Cricetulus griseus: one gene and its partner. The protein of the gene in region 2 binds, or shares a complex with, the protein of the main gene of each other region. Links are inferred from orthologs where the notes say so. Each region holds a gene or a part of one and is shown on either strand. Other genes may lie near its edges.

Evidence for each region. Proteins that work in one complex are often made in the same cells at the same time.
Region 1: the proteins of Xirp2 (region 2) and Nebulette are in contact, whole or in part, in a crystal structure (PDB 4F14), measured with the Homo sapiens proteins. The link is inferred for Cricetulus griseus from reciprocal best matches to the Homo sapiens genes XIRP2 and NEBL. Residues at the interface, in NP_689594.4 of Homo sapiens: Pro2420, Pro2421, Pro2422, Thr2423, Leu2424, Pro2425, Lys2426, Pro2427; in NP_006384.1 of Homo sapiens: Tyr963, Asp964, Tyr965, Asp969, Asp971, Glu972, Ile987, Asp988, Asp989, Gly990, Trp991, Met1004, Pro1006, Asn1008, Tyr1009.

The regions. Positions count from the first base shown.
Region 1 is NC_048596.1:215,822,680-215,826,773, reverse strand, and holds the start of Nebulette (nebulette), read right to left. Parts: upstream 2,814-4,094; coding exon 2,733-2,813; intron 2,640-2,732; coding exon 2,568-2,639; intron 1-2,567. UniProt on the Homo sapiens protein: Binds to actin and plays an important role in the assembly of the Z-disk. May functionally link sarcomeric actin to the desmin intermediate filaments in the heart muscle sarcomeres.
Region 2 is NC_048599.1:107,671,070-107,674,348, forward strand, and holds the end of Xirp2 (xin actin-binding repeat-containing protein 2), read right to left. Parts: coding exon 2,639-3,279; intron 609-2,638; coding exon 514-608; downstream 1-513.

The sequences.
Region 1 (4,094 bases), on a different chromosome or scaffold from region 2:
TCAATCCCAGGGAACTTGCCACAAAATTGCCCTCAAAAAACAGAAAACACAGATGCATCTCCAGGACAGGATGGAGTGTAAAATGCCACCAAATCTTTTGAAGGTTCCTATTTTAATTTAGCATGATGGCTGGAGAGTAGTGACCTAGGTTAAATGTGGGGCACCAATCTAGTCCTGCATAATTAGAAACACCATACAGTACACGCTCAAGCCTAATTCAGTGTGATAAAACATATACCTATATATATGTAATTTTAACTCCATGGCTGATACATTTTAGACAACCAGCTGGCTATGCAACTATATAGAGAAGATGAAAATTTCAAATTTAGAAATTGTATTGATATGAAGAAAAAGGAATTCAAAATATAAGGTCATTTCCTCCCCACAAAAATACTGATGTCCCTGGATAAGATCAATTAACTTTCATTTAGTGATATTTGACTGGAACATCTAGGAACATAAACATGTAATTTATCTCAGTATCTGTTTGTTTGCTTGTTTATTTACTATTTATTTTGCAGTTGAAAACCTTTAAGGTACAGAGAGACACACTGGTGCTCGACCGTATCCTCAGCCCGACCATTTGGTTTTAAAATGATTGGGTAAACCCTTCCTTTAATTATTATTTTAGAAATTAGTGTAATTTTTCAGAATCTTTATTAACCCATGTAAAAATTCTTGAAACTAAATGTCTTAGGAAATACAGAATTCTGTGACAAAATAAAATGTAAGCACATATCCAGGCATAAATCAAGGGCCAATAATCATGTTCTAAATATTTAAGTAGTATAGACATTTTGCCATGAAACATAACTCTGTAATAAACATAAATTTCTTCTGTGTGTTTGATTTCATGGCATGGAGTTTGCATTCACAACGTGGTAAGAAGGCAGTGTGCCTCCCTACAGGAAGGGTCTTATGCCACCAATAAGCAATCCTGCCCAAAACACTCCAATAAATCATCTACCTAATTAAAGCCACAGCCCAGCAATAATTACACTCCAATAAAGACATATAAAAGGCTGAAGAGGCAATGCCTTCAGAGTTGGATTTTAAGTGATGACATTGCTGCTACTACTGTTAGTCTGAGAGATAGTAGTAAGTTTTACATGGATATCAACTATGAGAAGTAACAACGGAGCAAAGAGAAAGGGCTTTGTGTTCACCTCCCTGTTTTAACCTCTGTGTGCTTCCATCTTCTTGCTTCTAAAGTGGAGGGGAAATAGGAGATCCAACATCACAAGCTACAGCCCCTGGCACATAGTGCTCAATAAGTTTTAACTGCCACTGGTGTCAAGGTCACTACTGTCATTGTCACTTTCTTACTATTGCAGCTTACAAAGAATTTTCACATGTTAAGTAAATTATGGTTTTTACTAAGCAGCAACACAAATAAAAGTTAGTTTAAAATTTAACTAGATCACATCATGTCTGGAATATGGGAAGAAGTGTGCACATTTCCATTGACTACCACCTTTTTATCAAGCATGGACAAATAGATATAAAAGTTACAGATGGAGTGGCTCAGAGTAGCTAGCATTTATGTAGTCATCACAGTGTTGTAAAGGATAGATGCAGCATTTTCCATGTATATTTCATCTTAGAATTATAAACATTACACTTGAAGACCTAAACCCACCAACATCAATAACATTTCCAAGGTTATTGTTGAGTTGACTCAGGGAAGTTGGCCTTGGAGAACTGGTCAATAAACTACCCTACTGCCCAGGAATCAAACTTTGCATATTAAAAACAACAGACGCAGACAGTTTTGCACTTGCTCCAGAGTGCAGGCACAACTGTACTTCATTTCATAGAACTCCATGGTTTTTTTTTTTATGCCAGCAATTCTCTTATATTGTTTTTTGAGGATGTGGTGGGCTCTCATCCCTAGTGAGAAATACTCTTCTTTATGCCATCTAGAATTCTATTTATATATTTATCATGTATGTGTACAGGTTTACATTAAATAACTCTGGATATCCTTGGAATACAATATAAACTAGCTTCAGTTTCTTAAAAAAATGTTCCTTTTCAATGATATTATCATGTAAACCAGAGTTTTTAATGTACAGTTTCCTTAATACACACACACACACACACACACACACACACACACCCTATATTGCAAAGAAATGTTAGGTGCAAGTAAAGGTACATGCATTTTCATGATTTGGAAAAATAATTGCATTTGACAGAAACTTCATAAGCACCATTCATTTAGCAGAAGGTCTACCATACTGAAAATCATTTTCTCAGACAGAAGCCCTTCCAAGATGAATTCTGCTACTGGGGAGTTCTCAAACACCATGCAATTCAGGGTGATTGCACAACTTAGATGAGACAGGACCTGGATTAGGAATGAGGACAATTGCTCCAGCAGAATTTTTCTGCTGATCGACCTTAGGGAAATCACCTAATATGTTTGTGTTTAGTTCTATGATCTAAAAATGACTATGCTCTAAGAGGTGACCTCAGGGTTTTCTCTCCAGCCCCATGATTCTGCACCGAAGCCATTCCATGTGAACAAAGCAAGTAAAACAAAACTCTTTAGAGCCACTCACATCACTAATGAGATCAGTGCACTTTCGGGCCAGTTCCATGCTTAGGTCTTCAATAACAGGTTTAAGAAATGCCTGTGGAAAATAAAAAGAGAAAGAAAAGGGCCATTTTCTCCTTGTCTGTTAAAGGACTAAAACCTGTTTTTAAGCAAGTTTTTTCTCACTCACCTTGTCCTCCTGATTTTCTTCCTCCTCCACCTTTTCCTCTTCAGTGTCATCTTTTACATCCTCAAATACAGGCACCTTCATTCTTACCCTATCAAAATATTAATGCTTTAAAACTTGTTGTGTCTTTTCATGGACCACCACACCCTTGTGTTCCGAAGTCACTTGGGCACTGGACGAAACACACTTGCAGGACTTTATCCCTGGCTCATGTCACTCTCCTTATCTCAATGATGTGTCAGTGAACACCGAGGATATTCAGGGTTGGCCAGGTCCAGCCTCACCAGTGAAGACTCGCATCTTCTGAGGCAAAGCTCAGCTTCACAAACTTAAAATCAACATTCTTTAGATGGCTCAAGACAAAAAATATTTTTATAGTTCACTAACTCAATTCATCAAAAAAAAAAATTGGCTTAAGAGGCCTGGAAGATTCTAGAAATCTACTTAGCTATAACACCCAAGATAGCATGGCCTGAAGCCTGTTATCTCAAAAATTTCTCAACTTGATCTAAATAAAGCTTTCTCTGGAATGTCAGACATGGCTCTGTTTCCACCGAGTGAATCTGCACCATACAAAGTCATTTCATTAACTTAAATTAAATGTTTTATGAGATTTTAACATACTTCTCACATCCCCCAAAACTACTCACTTCGTATTAGCTGATTAGAGGCTAATAATTTATTGCAAAAAGCCCTTTGAACCACTTCAAAGAATCTATTCTGAGTTAATTATGACTGTTAATCTCAAATTAGGGAATAGTGTATCACATTAATTGTAAACATCATTAAACATGAGAAGTTGAAGTTAATATATGTTGATATTTTATTTAAGACTTCTAGAAACATCACTGCTTCAAAAATAACCATCCTCTTTGCATTTTGCTTGTCTCTGAGTGAATTTTCACATATTCACTAGTCATGTTTTTGTAATCTCACTGTATTCCACAATTGGAAAATTAAGAAATAAAGTGATCATATTTGTCATGTGACGTATCTCACTAGTTCTTTTCTTTGAGACAGGGTTTCTCTGTGTAGCTTTGGAGCCTATCTTGGTACTCGCTCTGGAGACCAGGCTGGCCTCGAACTCACAGAGATCCGCCTGTCTCTGCCTCCCGAGTGCTGGGATTAAAGGTGTTCGACACCAATACCCGGGGTCACTAGTTCTTAAATTAAGAAACTAGTTTTCACAGAAAATTCTTTGTTGTCAGGTTAAGCAACTCTAAGAATCTATCACTCCTGATGTGTTAACTCAGCTGTTTAAATTTTAGGATAAATTTCCTTTTCACAAAATTATAGCATGTCAGTAATCAGTAAAAAACACCATATGGTGACTTATTAAATTAATTATATAAAATGCATCTTTAT
Region 2 (3,279 bases):
CTATGGGATACAAGGTTTCCCTGGAACATATCCAAGCCTATTCATTTACAGCCACACCCGCCTGTCTTCTCCAACCAGCCATTCTTGGATTCCAGTGAAACACAAGTCCTGATGGGAGCAGAATAGCCTGCCAAATAACAACATTCACTATCTGACCTTTACAGAAAGAGCTTACCAGCTTCTAATCTAGAGCTAATACTTTTAGACACCAGACTCACTTAAAAAAAAACCTGACTTGCACAGTAGCTGGGGATGCTTTCTTACTTGCAGAATTCCCCCAACTCAAAAGGGAAGTGTTGAGAGTGAACCTCAGCAATGCCATACTCCCCCCTCCCCATCCCCCCGTGTGACTGTAGCAACTGAGGGCAGCTGTGGTAGCTGGAAAATTCTACTTCTCTCCAGAGACTAGATAGTATACATATGCTCCAAGGTTCTTCAATCTATGTGCTACACACACTCAACATGGCATTTTACCTCAGTTTACCGCTGCAATGATGGCATCTAAAACATGATTTATGAAAGCTCTGCTTGTCTGCTATGAGGCACTCCATTGGGTAAACTGTCTTTTGACAAATTATGCAGATTTCCTTGTCTTGTACCAGCAGTTTCTGAAAATAAAAATTTATAAAGGCTTATAAGTTTCTACTTTCCATCACAATTGCAATAGCATAAAAAACAAATAATGTATTAATTTGACATGCAGATAAAGTGAAAAATCCCCAGTAATTGACTTTATATGTATCTTTCGCTGGAAAGTGTACAGTAACATGAATTTGAGGATCTAGTACAAACATTTAATGCCTCTAATATTATACTGTATAGAAACTGGATTATTATATAATAAACACATAAATGTGTATTATGCTCACTTACATTAATATATTGAATATATATAGTAACCTCAGTCATGGAGAACTTTAAGAAAATGTATCATTTAAAGCAACTACCTTTTCCATACATATAAAGTTTTCTACAAAATTTTCCTTTCTAGAAGTATGCACATAAATCATTATAAAGTTCATACAAATTTTTATGAGCCAAGACATTGTATAGTGTTTGATTAAGTATTATCTCAATAATATCAGGGTTTCTTCATGACACCAGCTGTTAGCTTCCTTGTAATAATACTCTACCATACATGAAACGATCAGGGACCTCTCTCTTTTCCTAACCGACTTGAACTTCACAGCCTTTTGAACCCTTACATCTATTTTTCCCATTTTGTGCTGCTTCTTTTACTCAGTACCTAAGTCACTTCCCATTGCTCTCACGTGAATGGTGGACTTTAGGAAATAACAGTAGTTACATTACTAACCAGGGCACTCTAGTGTCTTGCAATGGACATAGAAACATCAATTAAATACTGGTTTTGATTTTCACTATACTCTTCCTAGAATAAATAAGCTTTTGTATTTGTCACCTATGAAAGCAGGTATGTCAAGGTTCTTCATATAAAAAGTACTTTCTTTGTTAAGCTCTGCCTCTCCATGATTGAGGGGACTCCTTTGCAATTGTGATTCCAGTAGGGACACATTTCTATATTCAACACCAGCTTCTTTGTGTTTTCTATGGTTTTGATCTGCCTTAACAAAAACTGAGCATTTGAAATTAATTAGACATCTTTGCTTAATTATGCCAGAAGCAAGCACATTAAGAAACCATATTAACTTGATAAACTAGACACATATGTTGTAAATATGAGAGGCATAATTATTAATTTCAGTGGTTTTTATTTTTAAGTTTGCTATTTCTTTCAATCTGTCTAAAAGAATGGACTGAGTATACTAATGATGCCTATTAACTATGTCTGATCCTTTTATCATGAAACCTCATTAATTGTAACACGTGTAGGAAATAAGACGGAGTAAGTTATCTTCTGATGTTAAAAATATCATGTATTATGTTCTTATGATTTAAACCTCTCATCTTACAAACATAATCAAGTTTTAATATGTATTGTTTATCCTCATCTATGAATGAGGTAAATTGAACCGTCATAAAGATGAAAACATACGTTACAGAAAACATTGGTATCAGGGGATATTACCACCTCAATTCAACTGCAATAGCTAAATATATTAGATGTTTAATGTTACATCTGCACTTTTAACATATTGATGAAAATACTAACAGCATATTATATACTGTAAGTCCTGTCTGAGGCTATTACTAATGTGTATTTTATCCACTGCAGAGACTTATTTAAGTATTCAGTTAAAATATGTCAATACCAGGCCAAAAGTTTTAATCTGATACCACCATAAACTATTGAATGAAGTAAATTGTATTTGAAATTTTAATAATGAGTTTGTTCTGTAGCAAACAAATAGTTCCACTCTTTTGAAAACCACCACAATAGTTGTTATGTCTGTTGACTTCTTCAAACTCCTGTTTAACTTGAGTTTGAAGAACAGGTTTCAGTAATACATACTGCTGATCAATCCTATTAAATGTTGTTGTTAAAAAAGAAAGTAACGAAAGCAAGGGCAGTAAAGAATCACAAGCCTACAGGGTAGCTGTTAGTCCTGGTTTGTTACTGGGTTATTTCCACACACTGTTTTAATTGCAAATCATTTGGCTTTGGCACACATGCTTTCAAATGGGTTAATCTCCTTTCACACTCTTCAATCTCATTTACCACTTATAAAGGCAGATTCCTCCTGGAAGGCCCTGCTCATTTCAGTGGCTTGTGCATCTGAGGTTTCATAGCCCATGCGCCTAAAAACTCTTTCACTCTCCTGCCATGTCTTCTGAAAATCTCTTCTGAGATTTGTAGGCGAATCTGAAAGATCTAGGATATGGCCAGCAATCACATCTTCATAGGTTGGTGGGGCATGCTTAAAGTCAAAGCCAGATCTGCCAGCTTCTGAGCTATGTGATGCTGAGGTTGCTAACTTTGACCCAACAATCTGACTGTCAAATGCATCAATGCCTAAGAAATGCTCACTCATAGACCTTGCTTCAGAATGAACCCTGGACTGCATTGCAGGAACATTTTCTTGGTGCTCTCTAGGATGTCTGTACGAAAAGCCTGTAAAATTAGCATTTCCAGAAGATGCTAGTCCAAATCCCTCCTTACAAAAAGTGTGAGTCTCTTGTTTCATGTTGTGGTTTATTTCACCATTTGCATAAACCCTTTTATCTGTCTTTGCTCCAAAAACTGGGCCATTCTCAAATTCCCTAAACCATCTGTTTATTTCATTTTCATGGCCATTCAAAAAACGTTCAGCCATTTGAACTGTTTGATTGCTGGCTTCAAATCTCTCTGTGCGTTCTGAT